Linked DNA regions of Kluyveromyces lactis. The protein of the gene in region 2 interacts with the protein of the main gene of each other region in a pairwise test. Links are inferred from orthologs where the notes say so. Each region holds a gene or a part of one and is shown on either strand. Other genes may lie near its edges. The genes, in order: CDC42, AIM44, NAP1 and NBA1.

What was found.
Region 1: the proteins of AIM44 (region 2) and CDC42 interact in binary tests that used the Saccharomyces cerevisiae proteins (3 or more experiments, as listed by UniProt). The link is inferred for Kluyveromyces lactis from reciprocal best matches to the Saccharomyces cerevisiae genes AIM44 and CDC42.
Region 3: the proteins of AIM44 (region 2) and NAP1 interact in binary tests that used the Saccharomyces cerevisiae proteins (3 or more experiments, as listed by UniProt). The link is inferred for Kluyveromyces lactis from reciprocal best matches to the Saccharomyces cerevisiae genes AIM44 and NAP1.
Region 4: the proteins of AIM44 (region 2) and NBA1 interact in binary tests that used the Saccharomyces cerevisiae proteins (3 or more experiments, as listed by UniProt). The link is inferred for Kluyveromyces lactis from reciprocal best matches to the Saccharomyces cerevisiae genes AIM44 and NBA1.

Annotation. Positions count from the first base shown.
Region 1 is NC_006037.1:379,832-387,294, forward strand, and holds CDC42 (Rho family GTPase CDC42), read right to left. Parts: upstream 2,988-7,463; coding exon 2,412-2,987; downstream 1-2,411. Other genes in the region: chaperonin-containing T-complex alpha subunit TCP1, read right to left, coding at 1-1,340; GCD6 (translation initiation factor eIF2B catalytic subunit epsilon), read right to left, coding at 3,444-5,654; MSS4 (1-phosphatidylinositol-4-phosphate 5-kinase), read right to left, coding at 7,175-7,463. UniProt on the Saccharomyces cerevisiae protein: Involved in development of cell polarity during the cell division cycle, and essential for bud emergence. Affects signaling in the pheromone-response pathway through the STE20 protein kinase.
Region 2 is NC_006040.1:511,965-520,299, forward strand, and holds AIM44 (Aim44p), read left to right. Parts: upstream 1-4,073; coding exon 4,074-5,852; downstream 5,853-8,335. Other genes in the region: pheromone-regulated protein PRM4, read left to right, coding at 647-1,492; TGS1 (RNA methyltransferase), read right to left, coding at 1,770-2,681; MGL2 (putative carboxylic ester hydrolase), read right to left, coding at 6,071-7,393; PET20 (Pet20p), read left to right, coding at 8,118-8,335.
Region 3 is NC_006041.1:1,339,674-1,347,824, reverse strand, and holds NAP1 (histone chaperone NAP1), read left to right. Parts: upstream 1-3,328; coding exon 3,329-4,582; downstream 4,583-8,151. Other genes in the region: DUF5427 domain-containing protein MTC1, read right to left, coding at 1-752; ALB1 (Alb1p), read left to right, coding at 1,413-1,895; ribulose-phosphate 3-epimerase RPE1, read right to left, coding at 2,032-2,745; PLN1 (Pln1p), read left to right, coding at 5,444-6,304; KLLA0_E15005g (M20 family metallopeptidase), read left to right, coding at 6,801-8,151. UniProt on the Saccharomyces cerevisiae protein: Acidic protein, which assembles histones into an octamer (in vitro). Involved in the regulation of the localization and the function of the septins during mitosis. Involved in the function of B-type cyclins.
Region 4 is NC_006041.1:1,179,585-1,188,262, forward strand, and holds NBA1 (Nba1p), read right to left. Parts: upstream 4,761-8,678; coding exon 2,940-4,760; downstream 1-2,939. Other genes in the region: MRP10 (mitochondrial 37S ribosomal protein mS37), read left to right, coding at 1-153; FAD1 (FMN adenylyltransferase), read right to left, coding at 300-1,244; MTF2 (Mtf2p), read right to left, coding at 1,575-2,693; AGC1 (citrin), read right to left, coding at 5,222-7,942.

The DNA.
Region 1 (7,463 bases), on a different chromosome or scaffold from region 2:
GCTAGTTGTTCTCTTGATCCAACGGTAGTAGCAAAGTTATCTAGGTAGATGTTCAATGCAGTTTCCACACATCCACCACCTGGTACGACATTCCCACTTTCAAGTGTTCTCTTTACTACGCATAGCGAGTCATGTAAGGAACGTTCCATTTCGTCTAACGAGTAATCGTTAGGACCACGTAATACGATGGAAGACGAGGAATGTTTTTGAGTGCCTCTGATTAGGATACACTCATCATCTGAAAACTTGGTTTGAACCACTTCTTGACATGTACCCAAATATGATGATTCAAATACTTCATCTCCTTCTAAGTTCGACATATCGCTGACTAGTGTGGCACCAGTGGCGCGGGCGATTCTTCTTAAATCTTCCTTCTTACAACGTCTAACACCCATAACCTTGGCATTAACAAATTCTTTGATACATAAATCGTCGATACCCTTGGTGGTCAAGACGACTTGAGCACCAGCATCAATAATCTTCTTCACTTTATCCAAGATGATTCCAGCTTCACGCTTGCGAATCTCCTCTAGTTGTTCTGGGTCATCGATATTGATCTGAACACCCATTGCCATACGAGCTTTTTGTAGATTCATATCTAAACAAGCGATCTTGACGTTACCACCGGTGATTTGTTTTGGCATAGCTTGAGACGCTACGGTACAATTCAAGGCGTAACCTTGAACCAATACGGATTCCCTAGCAGACTTACCATGGGCCTTCAAGATGTTAACGGCCTTGACAGGATATTTAACATCACCCTTCGCGTTTTGAGTTCTAACAGCTAATAGTGCATCAACGACCATGTTACTGAAAAACTCGGAATCTGAACCGATAATCTTGGAAGACATACTTGTCTTTGCAATGTTTAGCATTGTATCTTTACCTAGAGTGTCCACTGGAACAGAAAGAACTTCATCAATGTAACGAATTGCCTCTCTAAGAGCAACCCTGTAACCAGTGATAATAGTAGTTGGATGGATTTTGTTCTTGACCAAATCATTAGCTTTCTTCAATAGCTCAGAAGCAATGATGACAACACTGGTGGTACCATCACCAATTTCACGATCTTGCTGTTGTGCCAAATCAACCAAAATCTTACCAGCTGGGTGCTGAACATCCAAAAGCGCGAGAATGGTAGCACCATCGTTAGTAACGGTGAAGTCACCAATGTCATCGACTAACATCTTATCTAAACCAACAGGCCCCAAAGATGATTTAACGACATTTGCCACTGCTAAAGAGGCTAAAACGTTCTGGTTACGGATGTCATCGCCAGAAATTTTCTCACCACCTAGAAATAACGTATCGGAACGTGAATTCCCATATACCTGAGCCATCGTTCAGTGTTATTAACGGTCGTAGTGGATCTGATGATACTTTTCTCAAAGCGCTCACTTCAATTACACTTTTCAAAATCGCTTGTTGTTACAATATTAGTATTTTGTATTGAAGGTTTTTCACGAACTTAGAATTTCGGTTCTTGGAGGGTAGTGAATGAATAGAAGGAAACAAAAAAAAGTCACGTGAATAAGTGAAGATGTTGCATATTCATCACTGCATGGAAAGTCTTTACCGCTGGCGCTTCAAAGAGTTAGAATTGGGGGGTGTATTCATTGGAAGAGATTGTTATTATTATATATTTTGAGTTCGTATGCCATTAAAACCGAGATTTTTATTGTTTTGTTATAAGACAGTTCTATCTTACAGGTAACCCAGGTTAATGCGAAGTAACATCCATTTCATCATCCAAAATATTGCATGGAATCTAAATGTTATTTAAAATATGGTTGATGGTTTAAATATGATTTTATAAGACGTTCCGAAGTTCTGTATTTTTGGATGTGTAAAGTACTTTGCAAGACCAAATAGTATAATTAAAGCAATATGTTAAATGGAAAATGTTTTTATATTTATATAAACTATTGAGCTAAAAGTCAATTAGAAGCCTGAGAGGTTAAATATATCATGAGATAATGAAATCCACACACGAAGAGTAATTTCGTTGAGGTTTTATACTTAAACAAAGCGATACTCCATAGTGTTTAGTTTTTCGCTTCGAACCAGTTTCGTATTTTAGACGGTTTAGAATTCAAACAAAGAACCAAACGTTTGGTACTTCAGTTTGTCTATAGAAATGTCAAAGAGTTATGAAGTAGTTTTGGTAGTTTTAGGATGTTGGTTTAGTGAAATGTAACGCTTTTTCTGGAGATGGGGGGTAGAGCTTTTTTTCTCTTTTGAACCTGCAAAAACTTGGAAACACACTCTCTATCTCACAATCATCTATAAATATAAAACTGGACTTGATGGTGAACGGGAAGATTGTTAAGAACGCTCATCCTTGAGTGAGAAACTTCTTACCTGATACATGTACTGGTAATAAAAAAAAAAAATACAAGGCCGATCACTTTTCACAATATAATACATTTTTTACTCTTTTTAATGACTGGAGGTTCCAGAGCAGCAACAATAGCTTCGTCGAAAACGTTTTTCAAACCACGCTGGGTAAGAGCCGAACATTCAACATATTTTACGGCTCTAAGCTCTCTGGCTAACCTTTCACCTTGCTCTGGAGTGATAGGACGAAGCCTTTGTCTCTGTAGTTTTTCAATAATCACTTTATCATCTCTTAAATCTATCTGAGTACCCACAATCAAACATGGAACACCAGGACAATGATGATGTACTTCTGGGAACCATTTTTCTTTTACGTTCTCAAAAGAAGGAGGAGATATAACACTGAAACAAACCAAGAACACGTCTGTTGATGGGTATGATAACGGTCTTAATCTATCATAATCTTCTTGACCAGCTGTATCGAAAAGACCTAGCGTGTATGGCTCATCGCCAATCATCACCGTAACAGCATAATTGTCGAAAACGGTTGGAACGTAGTCGGCTGGAAACTGGTTAGTTGTGTATGAAATTAGAAGACACGTCTTACCGACAGCACCATCACCTATAACAACACACTTAAGAGTTTGCATGTTTTAAATTCCTTTCTTCCTTGCTTTTATACTACTATCACTGCAGGCCTTTACGGTGTTACTTCCGGCTGACTGTGCTATGTCTAACATCCAATTTGTCTGACTACTCTCCTTCATCACATACATATCTTCGTCCTCCTGTTCTGTTATTTCAATTTTGAAATGGGAATATGTTAATAGATAAGGAAGTTAGGGTAACGTTGTAACGTGACTTGAATTATTTTCAGTCAAACTCTCCCATATAGAATACAGGAAGACCGCATAGGCGGTTGGCAGTCCGGTAGTGAGGACACTAGCCTTGAAATGCGTACGTATATTTGTCTATAGATTACTTTGCATATGGTTATCTCACGTTTACTCGAAATGCTACATGCTACATTATATTGATTGATATTGACCAATCTTGAACTTCGGAGGAACCATGAAAATTCAAAGGGCATTTATGACGTTATTGACTTATTCGTCTTCGTCACTGTCTTCTTCATCAGATGATTCTTCATCTGCAGTCTTTAGCCAGTCCACCCATTTGGCCAGTAGAGCAGTAACTTCGCTGTATTTTGAATCACCGCTTACAGAGTCCCACCATTTGTAAATGACATCTTCCTCTAAGATATCCAAATCATACAAGACATTATATACATGGAATAGAATGAAATCTGGTTTATCGAATTTCTGATCTAGCACACGATCCAGAATGATATTCATTAGATCAATGAACTCATCACTATCAAATGCTTGTCTCTTAAACACAGGACCCCATTGTTGTAAGACTTTAGTGACAGCGTCCTTTGGACCTAGTGTTTGTGTGGCTACAAAGTGGTAAACTCTTCTGAATATAGCGATAACAGAAGCATTCCTGACTTCATGATAAGTGACGTTCATACTCATTCTCAAAGTGTTTAGTTCAAGCATTGATGTGTCTAAATCGTGGTTGTTCTCTATAGCTCTTTCAACTGTTGCGATGGCTTCTTTTTCGAAATCTTCTTCTTCGTCTTCTTCTCCTTCGTAATCAGTATAGATACTAGTCATCGACATGGTTCTCCTCTTTCTATGTTTTTGAGTGATGGATGATATGGAAGTATCCGATAAATAAATGTCATCGTCTCTGTACGTTAATGTGTTCGCAATACCCTTTTCGGTCGATCCATCTTCATCTTCATCCTCATCATCACTTTCGTATAGTACGCCTCTCCCGTTTGGCCCAACCAACTGCTTAGATAGTTTAATCTTCGCATCGGCAACTTCATCGGAATTACTGATTGATAAAGAAGATGAATTTCTGGTGAATGTGCTTCCTTCTTCGTCCTCATCGCTGGAAGAAAGATTATGTGCTGTATCTAAGAATTGAGCTGTGTTCCTCTGTACTGGAACCGCTGAAATCTTGGTTCCAACTGGGATTGTAACATTATCGTCAATCACTACATTGAATCCGATAATGGAACCATCATTCAAGGTGACGTTTGATCCTAATTTAACATCTGAAGCAACTAAAGAGTGCTCAATTGTAGTGTTATCATCAATGACAACATTGTCCCAAATGTAACTGTTTTTGATTCTGATGTTTGAGCCAATTTTACAATTTCTACCAACAACACTATTTTCAATGACTGTACCTTCTCCAATCTTGGATCCTGAGCCGATGGCCGTGTTTTTCTTTATCTTACAGGACTGCGCTAATACCACGTCTTTTTCCTTATAAATGTGTTGGCTTTCGTATGAATAAGTTTGGCCCTTTAAAAGGTTGGCATTAAGAACCAATGGGTAACACCATCTAGCAATAAAATCTTGCGAGATAGCATCATACGTTTGCCAACTTTCTGCTCTAGTGGTGTATTCGTCGGTAATGTACCCGTAGATATGTTTCTTCAACAAATCACTAGAAAGCACACCTCTAACAAAATCTCTTCTCAAGAATTGGTAATCGAAATTCTCTTGGAAAATAGCAGGGACATGAGGAGAACAGATATCTACATGGCAATCAATCAAATCGTTGCGTAACACAAACTCGTCAACACCTTCCAGAAGTTCAGGATCAATATCAATGGTAGTTTTTTCTCTAGAGCTAGCCAATGGGATATCCTGGTAGTAAATACATCTATCATTAGACTTATCAAAAATGAACGTTGCTGGTTCATGAGACCTTGTCTTATGAAACTGAGTCGCTTTACTTAGGCACATAGTGACAATATGATCCTTATCAGCCTTTCTCCTTTGTTTATGAATATCTAAAGCCTTTTCAAAGTCCATATTAGTCACCAAATCACCACTAACAAGTACGAAATCACCGGTAATTAGCCCACGGTTATCGACATCTCTCATTGCATCTCCAACAGATCTGGACTCTAGCGACATGATGGTATTCACCTTAAACGGAGCCCATGGTAAACTCCATTTGGACTGATCGATATATTCCTGGATCTGTTCACCATGCGATGCACAAATCAGATAAACTTCGTTGACTCCGGCCTTAGCTAAGAACTCCAAAGTATATTCAATCAAGGGAATGTTGGCCAACGGCAACAAACATCTTGGTTTCACCGAAGTCAAAGGCATAAACCTAGTCTCAAACGAGTCAGTCAAAACAATCGCTTGTAAACGTTCATCTTGAACAACCTCTTGTTTCTTATTCTGATTGGCTTTACCAGATTTGGTCTTCTTTCCACTCATCTTTCGATTGTAAATTACGGGAAACTCTGGAAACAAAAAAAGCTTAAATGAGTACAAGTATACTATTAATAAACAGGGTACCTTTTTCCCCGTTCTAACCAAAAGACTAAGCGTTTCCAGAGCGATAAAGTTGGATGATTTTCTCTTCTCGATAAACTCATCATCATGTGTAATATGTAATTAATTGATTGTTCAATATTCAAATTTCATGTCATTTCTCACTTTCAATTTGAAAATAAGGAAGAACCAAGACAAGAAAAAAATTTCAGATACAACGCTCTGCGTGAATTTCTGTGTAAAAATCAGAATCATCATAGTAACCCATAAAAAAAAGATAGTTGAAATATGAGAAAAAAATAGATGCCCCTGGTGGGGTTTGAACCCACGACTATCGCGTTGCTTTGAAACGACCTTTTGAAGGGCCAATTTTCATAGAATGTTCCATATTGATTGGAGTCACACTATAAGCACGATGCTCTAAACCACTGAGCTACAGGGGCTTCAATGATGTCTTATTTGCTTTTGTTGATGTTTATATTCTGCGAACCAATAATTTTTTTTACCAAAAGAAGGCATACCTTGAACCATAATGAACACACAATTGGCCCTTCAATAAACCATTAATTGAATTAGCAGAGGTTCTTTGAACTTTTGTTTAGAATATCATTCCTATTTAGAGGTTTATTATAAAATTTACCTAGCAGCAAACATTACATAGAGTATCAATCAAACACCAACATAACAAACATTTACAGCATGTTCCTAGGCAGCTGGAACGTTCTCTCGGAGGAGGTTGCTGTACATACACAGGCTGTTGTTGGGCGTAGTAGCCTTGCTGTGGCTGGTTGTGATTTCTCATAGTATTAATTTTTTTAGTGATAGTTCTTCAGAATAGGGTCTTTCAGTTTCCTATTGGTATTAGAACAGTACGGCTAACACAACAGACCTATTGATTCACTTGAGTGGAGTTGGCAAAGAACTTATACAATTAAAACCCAACATGCTTCAAGTGACATTATATATCAAAAAAAAAATATCAACAATATACAGTCCGAGTAAATGATGGATCGAGTTCTTGCTTATATATATTTTGTATGTGGAGTCGACGTAATTGTTGTACCTTATTTTTAACTGCTTTAAGTGATATTTTTGTTATCACTGCCATTTCCATGAGGCTTCCGCTATTCGACATTTTTTTTTGATTTTTGGGTTTTTTTTTTGCTTTGCTTTTAAACAATAAGCATGAAAGCAGTGCGACAGATATTAAGTTTAGTACGAAACGTAAGTTTAATTATGTAAGTGCACACATTGATTAACACATTCTATCTTAATATGGATAAGTAGAGAAAAGAATTATAGTAACTAAATCAAATAGTGGAAGAATTTCTGGAAGTGTAGGGTCCGTATGGCGTACGTATAAGATTTGGTTTAGGTAAAGATTTGACAGCCCATGAAGTAAATTTGAAATACGTCATTTTTAATTGTATTAGAGAATAATTTGAGCAGCAGCTTGTCAGATATCAGTCGTGATATCCTGGCTGTTGTTGATTTTCGTCGTAATGTTTATTAACTGAATTTTCAATGAAATGGTAAAATCTGTCGCCGTAAACTTTGGGTGGAACAGCACTTACCACTTTCAAATCGTGATTCATACTTCTCCAAAGTGTTTCCATTCTCTTGAGCATCGAGTAGTTCGTCAAACAATCAATAATTCCTACGAAATATATTTGGTTTAAGTCATTGTTGAATTGATCTGAGGCTCTAATACCGCCTTCGTCTTGTTGGAAGAAATGCTTCACTACCTGTGTG
Region 2 (8,335 bases):
AGCAACGGTTAATAAGTAACACATAGACACAGAAACACACCTGCTTCTGTTTTTGTAATCTTCCTTTCTCCCATTTTATCTTCCCTCGAGGTCTCCCAGTCCGGACTGCGAAACTTCCCTAATTTTTTCATTTTTACGCTTTTTGATTTACGTGATTTTCTCGTGGAACATGTCTTATTCCTTACTCCCTGTACCTCAATTGGGATTTCCGACTCTTGCCTGATCCCCAATAACAGTCGGGGATATTATTCGGGCTGTGTCCTGCGCATGTTTTAGTGTTTTTTATCAGCAATTTGGTGTATTATTTCGATTTTCCTTTGATTTTCCAAAAGGAACCACCAATAAATCGAGGAATGAAACTAGATACGTTAGTTCTGTGCGAACCTTTCTGTGACTTTTTTCATAACTTCTCTCGCTTTACAAAACAAGGCTTCGAGAAATAAAGTTGGGGTAACCAAGTTTTTCTGAAGAAAGTACCAAAGGAAAGCATAATCACATTTATAAACACACACATATATATATATGTAGGTATGTCTATATAGTTACATTTATAAAGGTATCCCAACCTTTCTCTTGTTGCATGTGGTTAGGTATATGTTTTTATGCGTAGTGCAACGCGAAAATTGACAATAAATCATTGTGAAATATGGGTCTCAGATCCGGTAAGACAAGTAAGAAGGGCAATAGATTAGTGGTAACCTCGCTTGTGTTGTTTAGTGTCGTTTTGCTTATCCTGTACAGTGTCGGTAGCGATGAGTCGTTTATGAATTACAAGCAGTTTTCGCTTGGAACTTTGCAGATTGGTGCCGAAGATGATTCTGATGTAAGTGCACTACCAAGTATTGATGGTAGCATTAGTAGCATTAGTAGTGGAATCAACTATGCTTCTACGAATATTGCTGCAGATTCTATTGTGGAGGAGAAACTTGTGATCAACGAAGCTGAAGGTACTAAGCGGATGGAACTACGTAAACACAAGGTCCTGTCACCTAAGATGACGGCTCCTCTGGAATCCGAAGTAGCACCGGTAATAGTTGAACACGGCGGATCCAGTGGAACTGGTGGAATCACTGTTAGTAATGAGCGGTTCAGTCCAAGCTTAGGATTTCAGCAGATCTTGAATACTTCGCCAGTGATTCTTTTCATAAAATCTTCTGAGAAAAACTCTGTGGATTTGAAGAATGTTTTGACGTTAGAGTACACTTTTTCTCCAGAGATTATTGTTGTTGACTTGGACAAACATCAATTTGGTGACTCTATGCAAGAATATATCCAGTTGAATAGGCTAGCAACTTATAAATCAAACTATGGAGAATCTTCGAAATCTCCTGATGTCCCATATTTATTCATTAATGGCGTTTCCTTAATCAACAAATCTTTGAAAGACGATATATTGAACAAGCATGCAGACGGGTCCCTTCTATCAAAGCTTAGACACGTTGCTGATAGTAAGGTATCTATTTCAAAGGTGGATATCCCATCCAACTCTTGAGTTCCTTGCATTTTTGGTGGTTATTTGCTTGTATGAACAAAGTAAAGAATCATTTTAATGAGTGTTTTATGACGACCTATATTTCTCGCTTCTCGCATTTTACTACTATTTTTGGGCTCCTGCGGAAAGGAAGCCATTTTCCATTACTTTTGTTTCCATTTTATATGTATTATAATTTCTATAATAATACTTGAGGTGATCAGTATACTAATATTTCAATCTACAAAAAGTCCATTAAGCACTCAAGTGTGAAACACAAGTGTGAAATACAAATGTTTCAATACAAATCCTCCATTTTAATTTCAAGATCTTTCGATGATCTTTTATTATTTAATTCATGCGATTCCTCTTCCTCTATTTCTGTTGGATAGTACTCAGAAAAATCATAGAATGGTCTCCCCCAAAATGCAAGTATTCCTTTCATGTAACCGTTATCCTTAACATAAACAACTTTACATTTTTCATCAGGGCCTAATAAGTCATGAGTAATTGAGGACAACTGATCAAGATCTGAGTTTCTCGGTAGAAACAAAACTACATTCTGACATACAGAGAAGAAAACGCTAAGTATCTTTGATAATGGCGACGGCTGTAAATGTTCTTCGAGGTCATAAGTGTCCTGTCTCAAATAGTCAACACCACCCCACGGAGGTGAAGCAAATATGCAATCGGGTGTTTTTCCCAAGTTCTTGACTAAAGTCTTTTTCAATGATTCTTCCCAGTCACCATATATCAGTTTAAGCTTGACAGCAGAATTGTAACACTCAGCATTCTTATAGGCACAATACAAATGGTCGATATTTGAATCTATCCCGTAAACTTTCTCAAATAATCTTGCAAACTGAATGGTATTACCACCGCCTCCACAAAACACATCAACAATACAATTTCCATTGGGTAGACAATGCCTAACATAATTTGCAGTAAACTGTGCAAGATTTTCGGGTGTGACACTAAACCACAATTCGTCTGTTAAATATATGTTACCATTATTTATGAGCTTGAAAATGGTTGCCCTATTTTTCCAGAACTTGAATAATTTCTTATCATTCGGCCTTTGGTAAGGGTTTATTCTGTAACTATCATCGAAGAAATGTTTCTTTAATCGATGCCTTACTTTTATATTGTTTATTCCATCTATTCCTTCAAAACATCCAAGATCTTTTGGCGTCTTTAAGAGCCACGACATCTGGCTTTAAATAAATATCTTAATGACTTGGACAACAGTTCTGCTCCATTATTTTAAACTATAACTATATTATGTGTTGTTTTTACTATCCCATCTCATCGCATCTCTCTGCATTAATTTTGTTAAATTTATAAAATGATGGTTGCAGAAAAGAAATCCAATATAGAAAGGAACTATTAGCAAGTGCCATCTCCAAGATGTGTGATTTTACCAACATCTGACCTGCATCTACAAACCCTTGCCTTTCTAGTTGTTAACAATGCGGCATGTCTGCATTTACTTTAGGTGTAAAGTAGAGAATACCTCTCTCTTGTAGCCCCGCTTTGCTGAAAACTTTGACATAGAACGAATACTCTTCAACAAAAAAGGATATAGGGGTACTTCATCTCCCACCGTTCCAAAAAGAGTACAGTAGACTCTGTTCTGAAGTTATACCTGTAGATAAACCGTTGAATGTAACTGTTTACCAGAATATGGTAAAGTCAGTTAGTTCTTCGGTTGTCAGCTTGATTTAATATCATAGCGAATTTCAAGTTTTCGAGTTCCTTCGTCATTAACCAGAAAATATAATGGATTTGGCACTAAAGTAATTACATAAAATGGTAGTGAAATACATCAAGACAAAATACTGATAAAAGAAAGCAGGTTATCATTGTTCTGCTATTATTCTGAAACAGTCTTAACTTAGTTTTGAGATGACGATACATTATGTGACACCAAATATATATTGGTACAAAATGCAACAAATATCTGGTATTCTAAAAGTATATATATAAACTCAGTTCATGATGATAATCTAGGCACTCTGATGTTAAGAGAATTATAGATGGGCAGGCTGTCACTTGGGCTGAATGAATAATTTCCTTTCAAGATATCCTTATGAGTAAGATGTTGTGAAACAGGTCACGTGTGTATTCCATCGTGGTGTACGGATGAGATTTCTGCCCAGCATCTAATTTCCCTTTTCATTACGAACCCAGCATGAAATTTAGCATGTCTTTGCAGATAAGGGCAAGCTGATACAAGGTCAGCAATATTTGCTATTCCAGTAGAGTGTCGTATGCGGCCTCTAGTAAATATGGCTGGCCCTGCAACTAATCATTGATACTGAATCAGGTCAGCTTGTTCCTTAAATTGTTGTCTGGTATCATCCTTTCAGTATCTATATATATATATATATATATATATTTGAAGGAATGAATGAAGAACTTGAATAAGCTGAATGGGGAAAGCGATTCCACGATTGTATGAGTCTTTTTTGTCATCATGAGCCACTTGCGTAACCTTTCCTGGTGCAAGCTTCGTAAAATATCTTAAAAGCGTTACTCAAAATTACGTGCAATACTGTTATCATCGAATACTCTAGCTGGTAAATACTGAATTACCGAATAAATGATCAGAACTCCCACAAGAACCAAAACCAAGTCCTATAATGGATCTCAATCAGAATTTAGGTTCCCAGATGTTGAAGTTTTGGCTCATCTTAAATTGCCAGAACATGGTTTAAACAACCATCATCTACTAAACGAGCAATTGAATAAGAAGCCAGAAGACGATATTCACTCCCAGCATTTATCTGACTATACCACGACAAATTCCAACTCCGGTAACTCATCTAATGGATACTACTCATTTGCTAACATATCTGATAATACGACTAATCCTGACAAGTTGTCTGCTGTCAAGAACACAGCTTGTGCAATTGGAAACAACAGGTACTCATATATATCATCTTCCGGTTCTTCAGTGCATTATCCTGGAACACTGGCACCGGACAGAACACCTAGAATATGTCCCACAAACTCACCTGAATTTGGCAGGCCATTGGATGGTAACTTTGATATGCAATGCATACCAGAAGCATATTCTACGGTTACCTCTGATTTCACTTTGCCGACTGCCGACAATATTTCTTTCCAGTTCACACTGTCATCTGGTAACTCCACTGCAATGCTAAAGAAGCGTAGTACGCCGTCTACGAAAACGCGAAACGCCACGAACTTAAGTGAGAAACGGAAATCATCAGTCAAAAGATCAACTTCGACTGTGTCAAGAAGGTCGAATATAAAAAGATCAAATGCGATAAGATGCAAAGGTGGACTCTTACACTATTTCACTAAGCTCGGTAAACGTGTAAGATTAAACCTTAAGAAGTTCCACCTGGCTCTAAAACGCAAACTCTTTACGTACAAACAACGTCATTTCGCAAAGTCTGATAAGAGGACAACATCACATTTACTTCGTTCAAACGGGTATTTCGCAAATATTAAGAGGTCACAATCGATGAGATCAATGGCTTCTTACTCTGATACATCCTCTCCAACCGTTCCATCTGGATTGGATATAAAGAATACCCCGATTGTCAAGCATTCCTCCAACATCAACCATCGTTCATTGAGGAGAACTCCATCCTCTATTAAGCGTGCAGCATCGATCCTTACGAGCAGTAATTCACTTATTTTTTCTAGAAGTAATTCTTCCGTCGGAAGAACTGATTCAACCCGTTTAGTTAGGTCTCAACCTTCTCTAAATTTAAACTTAGCGGTAAGACAACCTTCCATCGTTGTTAAAAATAAGGTGATACCACTTTCTCAATTCGATCATGACGATTATTGTATTAGAGAAGAAGACGAAGACGAAGAAGACGAAGATGAATATATTATCGATACACAAAAGATGCAACCACTAAAGTCAGAGATGGGATCTATTACATCATCCTTACATGATGGTGATTCTGTCTTCGAAGACGCTATGAGTTCGTCTGCCTCAATGGAATCATTGAGTGAATCTGTCAAAATTCTGAATGCAAATAAGGCTTGGGATTCTTACCTTCGTGCAGTTATCTCACAAAGAATTTTGATGAGATTGCAAGTCGCGAAGTTCCAAGCTTCACAAGATCACCATACTTACAAAGAATTGCTTGACGCCATTGTCACAGACTATGAAAGCGATGCTATCTTTTCGAATAACGACGCACAAACAGAAAATGACTCCATGTCAGAATGTGACTCCCCTCATGAGTTCGACACTCTAACTGATTCCTCGAGAAGTACACCAGCAGTTGTTCCACAGAGTTTACGCGAAAGCTTTTCGTCATTAGCTAATTTCCAAACCTCTGTGAAAGCCGGTGTTCGGAGAAATCTAACATTACCTGTAGGTATCAGCATCTGATATCTCATTTCAATACATTAGCATTAGGAGAGAGCCCATTTATTATTGACATATTTTTCCTGGACATAACTCCCTTCTTCCACCTCCCCTCATTAGCATTACAACATCATTGATTCCTATATATTCATATTAAGATAACCACGTTTGTTGTTCATATTTATCGCATTTCTAGTTCTCAACAGATAGAGTCAGATATAGACAGGGTTGTTTAATTAACTTTATCTGATGATTCTATCATTTTTGAATTTATTCTCTTTAGGCAGGTCAACAGATTTAAGATCGGGTGCGAGACCTTGCATTGAAATGTCTGTATAAAATTTATGAAGCAATCTGCACAACGGTTTCACGTACCACCTGTCCAAGTTCATGTCAAACCATCCAATGTGACCTCCCCTTGTAGTTGTTAACATTAAGGTGTACGGATTACTTTGGACTTCACGATATGGTAGCGCTTCACATCCAACAATAGGATCATCTAAGGCATTCAGAATCAGTAATGGAGTTCTCAACTTGTTTAATCTGTTCGAACTCGTACCGTGCCTGTAATATTCAAAAGACGTATTGAATCCAAACATTCTAGCCGTAAAAAAGTTATCGAATTCTTCCACTGTTTTCACTTCATGTAGGTGGTCGGCGTACATACGCGCCATTTCAGGATTTTGCTTCAAAACATCAAGATGAGATGTCGTTAGTTTAACTAAATTTTTCGCTAACGCTGGAGTGTAGGCGTATTTCCCTATCAAGTTTCTTTCCAAATGATAAGATGATGCCGTTAAATCCCATGGATTTCCCAACACAACACCTAATTCTACGTCTGATTGATCGGATTCTTGTCCCAGATAATTGGCCGTCATACTTGCCCCTAAAGAGACCCCACATAAAAAGAATTTTCTATTAGGAAACTTGTTCCTCAATTCCTTCACGCAAAACCTTACATCATCAGTCCATAGCCCACAATACAAAAATGGTGTCGTAATGCTTGATTGGCAGCACCCACGGCTATTTAAGACGCAGGCTTCAAAATTGTACTCGTTCGTGATGGTGTCAACTAAAGATCTGACATAACTTTCGTTAGAACCACCTGTCAACCCATGTAATATAATGAGCATCGGCTTTGTATCAGACGATCCGAACTTTTCATCAGCATCAAAATAGGTATACCTCGGAAGCAGTTGATTTCTCTGATTTTTGGGAACGTAACCAGTCTCTTTCCATAACGATTGGGGAACACACACATCTAGTGCACCTTCACCGCCGTCTGGATAATTGAGAATATATCTCTTATAATAAACCAAATGTTTCGATTCGAAAGTGAACATCGAAGCAAAAATCGTCTGCATATGACCACTGCAAAGAAAAGGTGGAATCACACACTTGCTATTATGTTGGAACTCCGGTGCATATTTGTCAATTAATGATTTAATGCTGACACTTTTTGCAGTTTTGCCTGGTTCGCTGTTAAATTGTAACAGCTCATCAGGTAAGAACTGCTGTACAGTTTGAACCCACGGTAATAACGAATATAATTCTCCCAATACCATTAGTAGCTGAAAAGCTCTCTAACACTCAAACACTGTTATTGATCCTCTTTTCTAATGTACCTTCTTTCTATTACATTAATCCATGAATAACTACCATAATGTTAAAGACCGATAGCATTAAGGTTTACTTTTCTTTCTTCAAAAACCCATTATAAGATAAAATACGTAAGGTCAGATGAAGACAATTCTAGATAGAAAAAAAAAAAACACACAATTGACATGCGAGCAATCGTTGGTAAAAGAAATCGCTACACGTTGGAATCAGATGCTCTATGGGTAATTAAGCGTTGCCACGGCTACAAACATATAGCCTAAAGTCACTTGTTTATTAGTATTTTGGACAAAAATTATGTAATATAATCGTTACCTATGACACACATCTACAGGTTCCGGAAACTGAAAAGAAATTTGAAAATAAAGATACCTGATTTTCACTTTTAATAATCAACCCATTTAACGAGAGGTTTATCCTCACGAGAATACAACAGCGATATACAACAAATAACGTGCTGATAGCAGAACATTAACATCTACGTCAAGGTTGCTATTAGTTTTACTAGATCGATCACCACTGTCAAAGGGTTAGAGACTTTTGAAGCGAGCTGTTTTTTTAGGTGTTGCTACGAGTTGTTTATTGGAAAATCTGGAATCTGTTTACTCCTTGTTGGTTTTCCCTCAGTGAAAGATAGAAGGATACTTCTATATCGAGGCACATATAATTACAATGATGTTCAGCAATGTACGTCTCGGTTCACGCTCTATATACGTGAAAAATCGCATATCTGCGGTATCACTTATAAATGGTGTAAGGAACCAGAGTTCTGTCAACTTCCAAAATAATCAGATGTTACAAAAGCAGAACTTGAAGCAATCGAAGCTCAAGAGTAAACGATCAAAACGTAAGGAGGACGGCGATCTTGTGGATTCGATGAAGCTTGAAGG
Region 3 (8,151 bases), on a different chromosome or scaffold from region 2:
AAAAGGTTCAAGTTAACGTTATCATCCACTTTCCTGCCGTGATCCCATTCATCAGCAAATATTCTTATTCCACCTTGCACCTGTTGCGATAGTAATCTTTCGAATTGGTCTTCCACCTGATACGTAATCGTTTCCTCGTTCAAATTGTGTAAATCATGAACCAAATGAATTCTGATCACTTCATCCGTTTCACCAATGACAATCTTAGTCAATTGTGAAGTAAGCCCAGAAATGACATGAGACCCCTGCAATGCCGTTAATCTGGCCCCTATGTCGTTTATTTTCAAGTTGCCCTCTTGAGTAGCTATCTTCTCTTTCAATTGATTGGCTTGTTCTGTGGTCTTGTTCCAGAAACTGGATACTGTAGCAGAACCGCTAGATGACCACCAATTGGAAATTGACGCCAGTGGGTCCTGAACTGCCTCTTCACCTTCTTCTGCCACATGTTCTTCTTTTCCTTTCTGTTCACTCGGTTTCTCTTTACTGGCTGTCTCTTCTACAGGTTTCTCGTTCGATTCTGGCTTCTCCTCCGGTTTCTCTTTCTCTTGCTTCTTAGAGGATTGTGGCTTGTCCTTTTTGGACGGTTTCTTCTTAATATCCAGGTTACTATTTTCCAATTCGTCTAAGAATTCCATAATATCCTCATCCTGGCCGCCGTTCCCACTAACCTTACCCTTTCCCTTAGTGTTATTAGCAGTACTGGCTGGTAAAGAGTCTAAAAACTCTAGCACATCATCGGCATCACTAGTCATTTGGTGTTTTCTTTTTAAGTCTTTACTGTCGATAAAACTTGAATATTGATACGAATTGTTCAATCAAGAATCGATATATTCAAACTAGAAAATTATCGCTGAAAGGCAAGACAAAACTCCAACGGTTGAACTTAAACTAGCCTCCTAATCCTTGTGAACACAAGTATATAGTTTCTATCCTTTCTCTATTGTCATGGTTCCAACTACCGTGTGTTTTTTTCATGTATTGGTCCATTCTAAGGGTGGGTCGTATTTAAATATCCGGGTAACTATGTCACTTTCATTACCATGAAATAACGCTGGTATACATAAAGTGAGCAGTTAGCCGAAATGTAATGAGCACCGTGGCCTTTATCACCACCTATTCTTACCCCTTCCATAGATGGTGCTCTCCAGTACCAATGTCGGCATGTCTTGGCTTAAATCTTAGCATTTTTCATTAACTAATACCGTATCTATTTTGTACTGCCGTTTCTTTTCTAAAATTTTTCATCTCATCTCATCGCGAATCTGTTGAAAAGTTAATGCATCTCCATACCATGTACTTGATCCCCCGTTACTATTCACCTGTGCTAGCTATCTTGTTACTTGTTACTCTTAGTACTGGCTAGTATTCCTGGAACTACAAGTTAACGGTTAATCACAGTACTAAAATTCGAGATGCCATCTAAGAACTCCATTAACAGGCCAAAGCAAAAGGTTAACTTGAACCGTAAGGTTCATCAACGTGCTGCCAAGAGAGATGCTATGGAAAAGAAGGGTTTATTGGCACCAGCAAGATCTTCAGGAACATCTAAATCTGGTCAGTTGAAGAGTATACCATTGGATCTTTACAAAGGCGAGCATTCGACCTCTGGTGCTCTTACGACCAAGACTCTTTCGAAGAAAAGAGCAAAGAAGATCGAACGTAACTTGAAATACGTGGAACAAAGAAAACTATTAGTTGATCTACAATCTCAAAGTGAGGAAAACGGTGGTATGCAGATTGATGCGCCTGTTGTGAAGAAGGAGAAGGAAACCAAGAAAGGACAATTGGAAAAGATGAGAGAGGCTATTTCCACGGTGTTGGAAGATATTCAATCTCAAGGTTTATCCCTTCAGACAGGTTCTGGTACAACTCTAGGTGGTCAGTATTTCTTGTAGAGAGTCTTAAAAATCGTTAAATGGGGTTTGCATTGTCTATATAAACATTTTGTATACTAGGATAGATCTTAAACGGATCGTTCATTAAATATTATTCTGACATAAAAAAGAGTGCGTATATGTACTTAGGTACTTACTACTTTTCGTATAAACCTTTGGTCACTAATGCATCATTGACCTTGGTTTTCATAAATCCAATGACATCTGCTGGGTCGTGCGCGCGGAACACAGAGGTACCGGCAACAATGACATTGGCACCTGCCTCGGCAGCAAGTTCGACATTCTGTTTACCAAGACCACCATCGACTTGAATGTTCAAATTAGGAAATCTAGTTCTCAAGTCCTTCACTTTGCTCATCATATCGGCCATGAATTTTTGGCCACCGAAACCCGGTTCGACAGTCATTACAAGAGCCATATCCAGGGATGGTGCCAACTCGTACAACACATCCACAGGGGTACCTGGCTTCACAGAACAGGCAGCCTTCATACCATGCTTCTTAATTAGCTTAACCAACGCTACCGGGTCCTTTGTAGCCTCGTAATGGAATGTGAACTGATCGCAACCGATCCTAGCAAAATCTTCGACCCATCTTTCAGGTTCACTAACCATCATATGACAATCGAAGAATGCTCTTGGTAACTTGGTGTCTGGATCGTTGTACTTTCCGATAACTTTACGTAGCGATTCGACAACCGGTTGTCCCAATGACATATTAGGAACGAAGTGACCATCCATAATATCGATGTGTAACCAATCGGCACCAGAGTTAATCACATTGTGACATTCACAACCTAATTTAGTGAAATCACTGGCTAGAATAGATGGGGCAATAATAGCACGAACCATGTTAAAATTGAAACTTATTATAGTTTTGTAAACTGCTGACCTTAAACTCGAACAGGTAATGGTAAATCGTATTCTATAATGAGCAGAGCAGACCGTTAATTGGGTAGTTGGTTCTTGTTTGAAAAGAATTCCCTGCTGCTTTTTCTAATTTTATTGCATTCTTTATAAAACTGAAATTCTGATATCCAAAGAAAGCGACTATTGAGAGAAAGAAGAGGGGATCAGGATTACTTCAGAGTATTTTACAGCTCAAGATTCATTATATAATGTACCGTTGATATCAGGAGTGCTTTATTCCGAGTTTTTTTACCAGGAATTGGTACGATTTAGTCCTTTGAATTGGCATACGGTTGCAGTATTTGCATGCTTCCGTGATCTATTTTAATATGTAAGGAATATATAAGAAGAGCATTTTTTAGCCAGAAAATTTTCTTTCAGTAGGAAACGTAACAGCTTGGAACATCTGATCGTAGAGGTAGTGGGCTATTTGTGATACTTGGAGTGTTGCAGCAGGATATTTGAACTACATTAGCTGTATACATTTGAGTGTATTTGGCAAAATAGTAAGGATCACATCATAAAAATGTCCAACCCTATCAAGACATCGAGGTCGAGTAAGATCGATAATGCACCAACGCCTCATAACACACCAGCTAGCGTGCTTAAGGATTCATATTTAAGGAAGAAGCAACAGCAGCAGTCTGACCAGGATCAAGATCAGGATGACGATAGCGAATACAACGAGAGTCCATCTTTATCCCGGATCAATGAAAAGTTGGAGTTCTTGAACATAGACGAAGAAGATGAGGGTGAAGAAGAAGAAGAAGAGGAAGAGGAAGAAGGCGATGAAGAAGCTTTCGAAAGACTCCCAAAAGCTGTGAACAATAGGATCTTAGCCTTAAAGGCTATTCAGTCCGATTTGTTCGAATTGGAGAAGAATTTCCAGCTTGAAATGTTGGAACTTGAACAAAAATATCTGCAGAAATACAAACCATTACACGAACACCGTTACGAGTTGATCACAGGTGATAAGGAAGCCACTGAAGAAGAAATCAAACGCGGGGGATCTTTGGATGGTGAAGATGAGCATGAAGAAGAAGAGCATGACCAGGAACCGGAGGAAGGTGAGGAAGAGATCGTTGGTGTCCCTTGTTTCTGGTTGACAGCCATGGAGAACTTACCAATGGTTTCTCAAAACGTGACAGAAGCTGACTGTGATGTATTGACATACTTGACGAACATCACTCTAGAGTATCTAACTGAGGGTAAACCAGGCTTCCAATTGATTTTCACCTTCGATAAAGAGAACGAATTCTTCACTAACGAAACTTTAACAAAGACATACTACTACCAGTCCGAATTGGGTTACTCTGGCGACTTCATCTATGACCATGCAGAGGGTGAAACCATTAACTGGGTCGATAATGACCATAACGTTACAGTCGAAGTGAAAAGACGAAAACAAAAGAACAAGACTACTAAACAAATTCGTACCATTGAAAAGCTGACACCAGTGGAATCGTTCTTCAACTTCTTTGACCCACCAAAGTCTCTGGATCCCGAAGAAGAAGACGATCTTGACGAAGAAGAAATCGCTGAACTTGAGAGTAGATTGGCTGTAGATTATGCTATCGGTGAAGAGATCAAGGACAAGTTGATTCCAAGGGCAGTGGATTGGTTCACCGGTGCAGCACTAGAATTAGAATACGGCGATGAACAAGAAGAAGACGACGATGAATTTGACGATCAGGACGGTGAAGAAGAGGAAGAAGAGGACGACTTCGCTAATAAAGATGCTCTGAAGAAAGTCCAACCTCCAGAATGCGAGCAATCCTGAAAGAGATTTTTTTTTTCACATCCACCGATATATAGTAAGCAGTGGTTATCAAAAGTATTTACTCTCTATCTAAACATCACCCTAAGCTGTGGCCTTGCATCAATCTACTCAACGCATGTTCCAGATACGGACGGTGCCTGGCATGCATACAATTTGTGCGCGGTTTTCCACCTGTTCTTATTTTAAGCAGGTGGAAATATATGGCCATAAGGTCTGGACATGCACATCATGTGGTGTCAAAGTCAAACGGAAGTAACGGTCTAACGGTCTGAACCCCTGAAGGCCCCGTTACCAGTAAGAAAAATGGGCTGAAAAGGCACAACTAAGAGCCCTAAAGACAGCAAAAGTGTATAGCAAAAAGAACTACGAGCAGATTACGAATGAAAGTACATAGGGAGCAAGTCTGTTTATTGCTTACTTTTTGGGTAATAGCAAGGAATGGTGACAAGACTACTGGCAAGGCACGAAATAATCCGTGGATCTAGAAACATATCTGATCTACATATTCCTTCCGGATTAACATGGCAATGTTAATCGCAGTTGAAACACCAACTACGTTAGCCCACTGTATCCTTCAGTTTCGTTTTGGTTTCTATCTCTGCCTCTTTTTCTGCATTGAATTCAAATTAAGGAAAACTTGTGATAATGTTTTAGAGACTGACTATAAATAAAAGGCATTGCTTTGAGTTTCAAAGGGATACGAACCTATTACATATAAATATATATTTATATCAGTTTATTAAGTTTGTAGAACTGCAAAGTACTTTTAAAGGCGAAATAGAGTTGTGCAGTTGTTGTAAACCAGGGAAATCTATCGTTTTTATCCATTAGAACCAAATACAGTACAAAGATCCTTTAAAAATGACAGGCCCAGTTAAAAAGCAAAGGTCCCGCTCCTCTTCTTCAGTTAGACTTGTTGTTGATAAACCATCTACTGATAAATTTGCTACACAGTATGCTACTATCAATCATTTGAACAAGTATCCGACGTTGATAAAGTGGCTTAATGCCTTGTTGAGCTTGTCTTTGGTGTCAAATATAATTTCTACCATTTCCCTAATTTTGTTCCAGTTCAGGATCAAAGTCATCGAGTCTCCAAAGACCCCAACGTTCGTGAAAAGATCGTTCAACAGATCAGTTGCCATTGTCAAGAAGTTGGACGAATTCATCAACACCTTGGTGTTCAGAGAAGGTATTGATACGTTCGTTGAAGAATACCATGACCATGGGAAGTTAGGTGTATGGGTGGCATATTTCGTAGTAGACTATACTGCTAATGTGGTGAACTATACAGTGAAAGAATTGATTTTGAGACCCTTGTCTTTAATCAAGGATGAGACGCATCCATCTTCTAGTGGGAAATCTGTTGACTTGCCCCATTTCAAGGAGTTGGGAAACACTACCAAGGATGTATTGGAGCCTACTAAAGAGAAATTTGTTGCCAGGTATGATAATCTGGTGAAGCCAGCTAAGGATGGTTATGAACAAGCCATTTCCACGGCAAAGGAAACATATTCAACTGCCTACAAGACTGTTTCCGATAAATACGACACGAACTTCAAGGAAACTGAATCCGTTCCTAGAGCTATCTTGACTACAGGGTCAGATTTGGGTTCATTGACCATTGAAAAATTGAAGAAGTACAACGGTGTCGGTGATGAGTCAAATACAACTGTCGACACAGAAACCTCCGTCAAAGGTTTGAAAGGTCTCTCTACCTGAAACCAGAAGCAACTTCTGCGTTTGTTTGTGCTTTTTTTTTTTTCACTGCCAAGACCATTCTTAAATGTCATTTATGCAACCAAGTGGTTCCAAGAAGCTAGTTTGTTGCTTTTTCCCTCGGCCTCTATCACTATGTATGGATAATAGATAAGGATACGATGCAAACTATGATATCGACTAAGCAGCAGGAGAAACACCAAGCTTTAAAATATTCAAGAACTCTGTATGGCTGGCTCTGTACGTTATATTTTACAAACTAATCAAGACTATTATATTCTATTATATTATACCCCACGTCCTCTTTTATATAACCCTTTTGGCAATGCAGAACCTTTGAGTTTCGACCAGATATATTTATGTACAGCTAGTATAAATTAAATATCCTTAATGAGGTTTGTGCTATTATTACAGCAAAGAGAGAGAAGACTCAGAATTTGAAGCTTTGACGTTGTAAACGGTATCGTAGAAAGAGCGACTGGTTTTTATCGAGTAAACAATGGGTATTAAGGAGAATCGTGACGTTCATATTTCTAATTTAAGGCTAAAGGCCTTGGCTGTGGTGACAGTTTTGTTGTTTTTATGTGGTTTGCATTTATCCAGATGGTCAAGGACCTTGAAAGATAATCAGACTGCAAGTGAACCATTGTGTCCAAACGCACCAAATTTGAAACCGCCTTCATACATCAATGATAACTCGACCTTGGAAATGATCACACACGATGTCGAATATCGTAGCGATGCCGTTGAGAAACTATTAGGATCCGTTAGAATTCCTACTGAATCGTATGATTCTCATCTAGATCCTATTGAATTTCCTAAGGTATATGAAAACTTCACAGTGTTACATGACTATTTCCGTAAGACGTACCCTGCAGTGCATAAGACTTTGAAACTTGATGAAACTAAATACAAATACAATTTGGTTTACGTTTGGGAGGGGAAAGATGCTAGTTTAAAGCCTTTAGTTTTAGCAGGACATCAAGATGTCGTGCCTGTCAATGCAGAAACCATAGATCAATGGGGGTATCCACCATACAATGGTACGTTTGATGGCGAGAATCTTTTCGGTAGAGGTGTTGCTGATTGCAAAGCTTTGGTCAATTCGGTTTTTGAATCAGTGGAATTATTAATTAAGGGCGGATTCCAACCAAAGCGTACTGTGATCTTGGCATTTGGATTTGACGAAGAAGTTGGTGGCGGATATGGTGCCCAGACCATAAACGAGCACCTTATGGACAAATATGGCACTGACGGGATATATGCCATTGTAGATGAGGGTGGAAGTTCGGTAGAGAAAATTGGTGACACCTATTTCGCTTTACCGGCAGTTGGTGAAAAGGGTTCATTAAGCAGCATAATTCAGTTGAACACAAAGGGAGGACATTCTTCGGTGCCTCCTGAAAACACTGGTATTGGTATAATGGCTGATTTGATCCATAGTGTAGAGACGAATCCATTCAAACCGTCCCTCCATTTGGAAAATCCGTTCTTGAAACATTTGTACTGTATGGTAGAACACACTGACACTGACGATATCGGTCTCCCCAGAAATGCAATCCGTCATTACGAGCACAGCAAGTATGCAAGGGACCATGTGGTAGATTGGGTCAGTGGTAATGACAAATTCAAATGGTTGATAAAGACTACGCAGGCAGCTGATATTTTCCATAGCGGATTCAAAATCAACGCCTTGCCAGAACTATCTACACTATACATTAACCATAGAATCAACATCGGATCCAATTGCCACGACACTGAACAAAAAATCATGGACCAAGTGGAGACTATCGCCAAGAAATACGGAGTTGGCTTAACCTATAAGGGCGAAACTGTCATCGAAGACGCCA
Region 4 (8,678 bases), on a different chromosome or scaffold from region 2:
CACATGTACGGTGCATGTGAGACATTGGCCCAAGATTTGAAGGCATGTACCGCGGAAAATGCCTTAGGTAAGAACCAAAAAGTCCAGAAGAGTAATATCAACTATCATGCTGCTAGATTGTACGATAGAGTTGGTGGAAAATCTCATGATTAGAAAGAAGCAGACAGACTTTCTCCCCCTTCGTTATCACTTGTACATAATACCATTTTCTAATATTACATATATCATCTAAAATCAAGGAATTCACGATTTATTAAATATGATAGAGATTTTTGTAGCTATTTGTGAGTGGATTCATCTCAAACTTTTCTGGCGAGTCTGCCAGCTCTTTCCCACTCGTCTTTCGTTAGATACCATCCCGGATGGAACTCAGATGAATCATGCTGTTTGATGGTATTAAGGTCATTCTCGTTAATTTCGTTACAATGCATGTTAGAATCTCCTCTGTAATTGTTTTCAATTTCCCATTGGAAATCGCTATGTTCAGTCTCGGCCTTTGTCATGGAGCCTATAGGTTCTGGTATCCGTAGGTATGGATTTCTCAATGTGTTGTTTACACTGCCCAATGAAGTGAATCCCATCTCATATAATCCGCATACTTCTTCTCCCGAATACAATAGGAAACTCCATATCTGTGAGAGATTCCAATGTAGCAACGGTTGCAACCTGTAGAACTGGGGCCAACTGGGGTCCGTCTTTTGAATTGGTTGCAACGTCTCCCCAAATGGATCTGTGTGTCTAATGCCGATTACTATTGCCTGAGTCTCTGGATGTACCGATAAGAACGACTTGAAGGCACTTGGCATATCGACCTGTTTATCCTTCGCTGATTCGTATAACGATAAGTGATATCGCTCCACGCTCCGTTGTAAGAAATCTTGTGCCGTAAGAAAGGTATCCTCTTGATCAATGTATACAGTGGGTAGTTGCTGCAACGGGAACATGTGGAACTGGAGATCGTACTGTGATCCCTGTATTGACATGAGGAAAAATTCCCATAGACATCCCAGATATATGATTAGCAACACTTGACAATCCTTGCCACCGTTGTATGAAAATGATATCTCGCCATTGAACGGATCCCATCTAGTGAATATATCCTGCAGAAGGTACCGTCTACTCAGCTGTATCGATTCTTGAGTCTGTTTTATTACATCTCCGGTTGTGGCTACGGCAGATTCGGCATCGATCGATAAATACGACTGAACGATGTTGTAACAGTTCAGGGCAACGTCTTGCAACATTGCAGAAAACGTATCTGTATTATCGGTTCACACTATCTGATCTTTAGCGAAGTCCTAGACTTCTGCATTTACGGTAAATTGAATCAAAGTATATTGTAGTTGTGTCAAGAAGGTTTATAAAACCTCGAATTGCCTTTGAACGATTTTCATCACATAAGCCAAGAAGATTGAAAAGAGGTACAAAACAAAACCATTCCGTTTACCATCCGAATGATACCGCTCGTGACTTTATGTATTCACCATCAGCTACATTTATAGGTGTATTATCTATATTATCTTAATTATTTACATTGTTAGCTTGTTGTAGTTGGTCTGGCAAATCTGTTTTCCTTACCTCATCAACGATCTTTTCAACGTCTTGAGGTATTTCGTCAACTGGTCTATGACATTAGCATTCTCTGTACACCACAATACACTAGTTTTACTCAACTCCTGGTCTGCCTCACCGATTCCAGCGTTTTCGCTCACAATGACATCCGTTATAAACCTCACTTGTTCGCATATATCTTCCAAAATCTCTGTAGTGGCAATATCACCGGTGATACCGTTGGCATCCATTTCGTATACCAGTTCCTTTACCATGACCAAATCTTTATATTCTTCCCACATAAACTTAATTAGCAAGTTGTAGAAATCGATGTTGCATACGTCAAGGTAAAGGCCGAGATCTTTACAACTTTTGCATTTATTGTAAATTGTCTTTAATATAATATAGTTTCTATCTCCAGGTAGTTTGAACTCTCCACTATCAAATATGTACCGTATGATGGCAGGTAACGTTATTGAATAAGGTTGTGGTAAATTGGATGGTTCCTCGCAAGATCTCTTGTGGATCACTTCGATGAACCTTTTCGTTTGAACCTCCATCTTGGGATCCCTTTGCAAGTATTGGTCCAAGTAATGCATGCAAGTGTCCAACAACTCTTTATCTGTGGTCACAGTCTTCTTTAAATGATTCAAATGTGGGGCTAGTGCGTGTTCCAATGCTACTCTCAACTTCTCTTTTTCTGCCACTAGTTGAATGGCTTTCTCTATGCCGGATAATCGCACATTTTGATAACTGGTCGCCGATATTGGTAAATCTCTTATATCATGATCACTAAGCCTGAAACTGGAATGGGGTAGCGGTGTCTGGCTATCAGAATCTTTATCCGTCTCCATTATCCCTGTCCATGATGGTGATTTATCAGAGAAGACGATCTGTTTATTGAAAAACACTGGATTCAATAACCTGTTCATCGCCTCTTTATCCGGGTTCTTTTTCTGTTTGATCTCTTCTATCACCTCAGAAATGGTATTATGTTCTTCAATAGCATCTGCGGTGCTGCTGACATGCTTCTGCCCCAGTTTACAGCTCTGTGAAAGTAGTCTTCTTGTGGCTCTTGTTGTTACATTATGGAGATGAGCTTTAAATAAAAGAGATGAGTTCATTCTGGCAGCATTCAACATATCGTAAACCACCTCTGTCCTTAGATTGGCTCCTTATACAAGCTTAAACGACTGGTATCAACACTGTGAGAGACAATAGATTGAACCGTAGGCATCTTTTGCAACGTCTTTTATTAATCAAAGCCAGTGTTTCCTTCTTTGATTTAAGAATTTTTCTTTCAATACTTATTACATTTGGTATATATTGATTCTTTACTGATAACGTTAATACAAAACTGAGAAGAGAAAAAGCACAAAAAATTCGTATCAAAACCCATCAAGGGCTTTAGTAGCTCTTTCAAGTCTTCTTAAACCTTCTTGGTACTTTTCTGGATCCAGAACCATATCTGCAGTCAATCTAGAGAGAGAATCGACCAATCTTTCAAGAGCTCTTTTCTCTTCGATCTTCATACCAAGGTTAGAGAATTCTGACCCTATCAGGGTTCCCTTTGTAACATTCAATAGTTGTGAGATAGTATCTATATCGAAGGATCTTAGTTCTTTGTTGTGTTTGGATCCGATTTTTTTGGTTTGATTGTGGCTTTGGTTTTGGCCTTGACGTTGGTGAGATTTGGATCTGGTCTTCGAATGGCCTTTCTTGGGAGCCTTTGGCAGCTTACTTTGTGGAGTCCTTACTGATGAGGCAGCTTTAGTGGAATCAGCACCTTTCTCTACTATGTCCTCGTAATCATCATCATCTTCTGGATCTTTTACATTGCACACTGCCTGGTCATTCGGTTGTTGTGTGATTTGGTTCTCTGGGGTCTCCAATCTTGACGATGATGAGCTTGGAATAGAAGGTAGTGGCCTAGTAGTGTATCCATCCTCCTGTGGTCCCATGGTATCATCTTGCTCAGTAGCAGAGAAGAAACTTTCAGATCTCACACTGCTTTGTCTTGAATGTCTCTCACTCCGGCTTGCACTGGCACTGTGACCTTTCCCCATCTCCTTTGCAAGTTGATTCTGAATATCATCTAAACTTTCCTTGATAAATATATGTGACTTGGGCCTTCTTGCGCTTCTTGGTGGTACTGTTGGATGTAAGTCTGATATGATTTCAAGTTCTGGTTCAGCACCAGCGGTCTTCTTACTGTTAACTTGAGTTTCTAGTGGTGGTAATATACTCGAAGCAATTGATTTGATTTCGGATACCTGAGATATATCTTGCTGGCTTGGAGCCTGTGATATGTTTAGTGGTGTAGTGTCCGAAATTGCTTCTGTGACATTGACCTTGGGGATGTTATTATAATCAGAAACTGGAGTTTGTTGTTGCTCATCGTACGATTCCTCTTTAATTGTCGTCGTTTCAAGTTGAGATAGATGTTGACAGTCACCACTGTTACCAGTAGCACCATATTGCGAGGTATGGTCCAAATTTACCATGCTGGATCCCGAATTACTTGTGGCAGATGCGTTATAGGAATGTCCACTTTCGCTTGCTAGATTACCTGATGCGATTGATGAAGGGACCTTCTGATGGGACATCTCCATAGATACAAGTTTTAATGAGTTGTTTTTCTCTAAAGTAGGAGTCGTATCTGTTTCAGCTGGTTGCCCAATCTGTTCTTTCTTTAACGAAACCTGAGGTTCTTCCGTATCAATAGAGTTTCCTACTGGTTTTGTTGTTAATTCAGACAATGCATCTGCTGATGCAGCTGACCATTCGCTCTTAGTAGGGAAGGGCGGTAAAGCTGGCTCTTCAAAATTCTCCTTCTTCACAGCGGTAGTACTGTTATTTTTGACTATATAGGAGACTGGAACACCTTCATGGACAGTGCCTGAATAAGCCGATATTATGCTTTCTCTGTTTCCTGGCGATTGACCGTTTAATTGTAAACGATTCCCATCTGGAGAAGGCTGAGGGGACCCATACGTATTGAAGAATGCCACATTTTGATCGTTAGATGTATATGACAATTGTGGAGATGCCCTTTCAGCAGAATCTATTCCCTTGCTTGGCATATATATTTCATCATCCAAACTCTCATGTAAGCTGTAATTCTCGATCATAGCAGAAAGTCTGTTGTAATTAGGGTTGTTGCTAGCGCTTGGTGGCCTAACTGCACTCTCCAATGGCTCTTTACTCATTGTATTTGTCCAAGATAGTGCTTCTGGTTGTAGTATTTCCCTTCTTTCCAGATCAACTGTTATTGATACCTGGGATAGTATCCTCTAAAATAGACTTGTTTCCAAAGAATTCCCTCAACAACAAGCAATTTCAAAAATAAATGTATCTACCTCAATAAGTAGATGGTTGTTAGTTGCTACAATTACTATACTGGGTTGACAAACCTCTAACCTGCGTTTAGATCAAAGATTCTTACAGTCAGTAAGGTGTTGATGTTTTGATTTCACTGTTGATCTGAATTCCAGATCAGGAAAGATAGTAAACACTTAGTATTTGAAGGTCAGGTGACAAGAATTGAAGAAAATGGAAGTAGACAATAAATAGGTGTTTACATTAGTACCGCACCTTGATGCGCGTGTGTATACAATGATATAAATGCATACGTATTAAATAGTGTTTCGAACTTAGTTCATAATGTACATTAGTTGCTCTTAGGGCCAATTCGTTTCAATTCATCTTGGAACTTTCTGTAAACATTAAAATCGAACTTGGCAAAGTTGTAATCGAGGTCTATGAAAACTTTTGATATTTGACAGCTCTTGTAGTAGTAATTGAGGAAATTACTGGAGTATGGGTCCACTGATGGACCATAGAATTCTATCGGAACTGGTTCATGGCTGTAATGATTATTTTTGAAATTTTTGTAGAAGGTTGTGAACAAACCAGTGACGATGGGTGTATCATCCTCTACGTCGGAATGCTTTTTGGGTCCGCCAAAAGAGCTTGAGTTATTGTTGCTGTCGTTGTTACTGTTTGTTTCATGGTTCTTGAAATGCGATGGGAATAACCCTTGGAACATTTCAAATGCTGCCAAGGTGAAACCGAACTGTGGGGAACTTCTCAACACACGAGCCGGTCCACCTTTGAAAAATGATTTGATGCTTTCCTCTTTCAAGATCGTTCTTGCTGCATGGATTACACCTGTATACGTTGTTTCTCCCTTCCTGGGATCGATTTGTAATCTGGTCTTAATCACATCAAAAGGAGTGGTCAAATAAGCTGCTGGCATACCTGCGATCCCACCAGCCAAGAGGAGTTCCCAGGTTTTGAGTTTGTTTCTCTTGTTTTTATCATTTGGATCAAAATTAAATACATCCTTCTTTAAATGAGCATATGTTGGGAAATATATGGCGGAGAATGGGACGTCTCTCAGTAAGCATGCTGCGGCACCTTTGTAGAGACCGCGAAGGCCCAATTGCCTTATAATTCCTACTGCACCTAATTGTGGCCTTGCATTTTCACCGACGTAATCTGATCTCATTTGTAATCTGATCTTTACGATTTCCAATGGATTTGTAAACACAACTTGGCAAGCACCAGCGGTGGCGCCTGAAAGGATTTCTTGGTACCATTTAATCGTACGAGACTTGTTCATGAAATACTGTCTCATGAAATCGTTCACTGTCAATTTGATAGCTTTTTCGGGGGCTACACCGATTAACTGTGGGCCTAGACCAGAGTAAAGACCTCTAATACCCTTAGTTTGGAAGATTTTCACAACACAATCAATGGAGTTTTTGTACTGTACACTGTTACGTTGCGCTTGCATTCTTGTCTTTACCAGGTCAATAGGGTACACGACAGTGGCGCCGATGCACCCAGCTATGGAGCCTAACGTAAAGTTATGAATCGAATCAAAGATCGGGTAGAAATAGAAGTTAGAGTACCATGATTCCGATCTAATTCTCTTCAACTCCATGGAATGCACAATATCGTTCAAATAGTTAGGGTTCAAGATTTTCATAAAGTCTTCCATAGTAAGGTTACGACTCTCGGCAGTATCCTTTGGAGTCTTACTTGCCCAAAGACGATCCAATAATGAGACTCTTTGGCTTTGCTTCCTTTCGTTATGTTCTTGTAACGAAGAAGCCTGGCTAAATTCATCCACAGTTGAGTTATAGTTTTCGTTGAACTCTTTAATAGTCCCCTTATTAATATGAGGTCCCATCTGAACTTGGCTATGAATGAAATCGTCGATGGTTTCATCAGAGTGGTGCATCGAAGTCAAACATTGGTGCCTTGACTGTTTTGAGTTTGATACAATGGAGAACAAGAGGTTAATCTGTGATGGGGAAAACTCTACAATATTCGTCACTTTGTTATACTCTTTATTCAAAAACTCCATAAAGTCCCTCTTCGTAATCACTTGCTCTCTGACATCGTTCTCATCGAATTCGTAATATTGTGCGTAACGTATAAGCACCTGGTTCAAAAGATCAAAATTCTCAAATAAATAAAATATGTCTTTTATGACATTGTATTGGATATAATTGTTATCGCATTTGATAAGCTTTGTGTTGGATAAATCCAAAGAATTGAAAACATCTGAAGAGACTCTGTGAGAATAGAACAATTTCAAAAGGTAAGATAGCTGGTTCTTGGAAAGCGTCCGACAATTTTTCGATGGGTTCAGATGGCATAATTTATTGAACCCAACGAACATTTTCTCATCTTTCAAATCGCTTTGCAAAATCGTGACGAGCGAATTCAAAGAGAAATAAGTGCCTGAAGATTTCCCAAACGGACTACACTGGTAAAATGGGAACCAACGAAATTCGTTCCAATTCAAAGCCAAATCATTTTTCATAATAAATTCATCGTTAACGCATTTTTGTAAGAACGAAATAGTGGACTTAAACTGATCGACGTTCAAATACAGCTCATCAAAACTCAGGAACTTATTCCCATAATTGATATATTTCACACGTTGATCATCGATATTCGAAGTTTGTCGGGCCCGTATCCTTGCCACATCAAACTTCCTGAAAAACTCATATAATACAATCAAATGGTAGTTGTTGAACTCCAAGATGTTGTTGAAATGGAACCAATCGTTGATGGTTAAATATCCTTTATTCTGTTCATCCATGGCGAAAAAGATACATCCAAATACATTCTTCGGGATCTGATTCAAATTGAACGAGTGATCAGTAAACTTCGAGTACAACGACTGCGAGTTCGATATAAGCCTGATGAAATCATCGTACCTTAACACCGACTCACCAGTCTCTCCGGAGTCCGAAACATCGCTAGCATACGGTTCTCCCAGCTTTTTCTGCTCAGCAGTAAGCACACTGGCATATTTGCTAAACACCTCCAGCTGCTGCTTCTTTTTCTCGCTATTCGAATTCACTAGTTCCATCTTTGCATGTTGTTATATGTCTTTAATACTTTTTGCCTTGCTTCTATTTCTGTGTCTCTCTTTAAATCATATAATAAATAATAACGTAAACGTAAAATGCCTTAACGAATGATAAAATGCATTCAAATCTTGACTTCTTGACAATGTAACGAATGTTCAACCCAGATAACTAAAAGATATGCACAAACGAAATTATTCAAAGTATGAAATATCACCTTGTCTCACAGCTTCATTTAATGCTGGACGGATCAGAGAGATGCTTCTAAAATAAATAAAATGTGCCTGTTTCCAAAACAGTTTTGGCAGCGAAATCTAACTTCCCAACTGTTGGCTGAACGATACAGGATTAAATACGAACTAAACAACGTTAATGTAATGATGTTAAATCCAGTTTCCAATCTCGTGTTGGCCATCTCTAACAGCTTCTTTGTATTTGAACCGATTCAAAGCTGTGATCTTTTTTTGGGCAAAAAGATTTTTCCGGGCCCTCGAAAACGGAGTTTCTGGTGGAATTTCGGCTCCGATTCTTTCAATGTGCTTACGTTACCCCAGAAACATTGTTTTAGGGACCCAAATTCGGATTTCTGGCCCGCTCGGGCCGCAGGGTCTTTCCAATGGAGATTGGAGCTTGGACATCAGGTCATGTGACCTGAAAGTGTTTTACCTATATTTCATGGTAAGCAGCAAGTTTGCATGTCCAGATGTGTGTATTATTTGTATTTATAAAGTCTGCGTT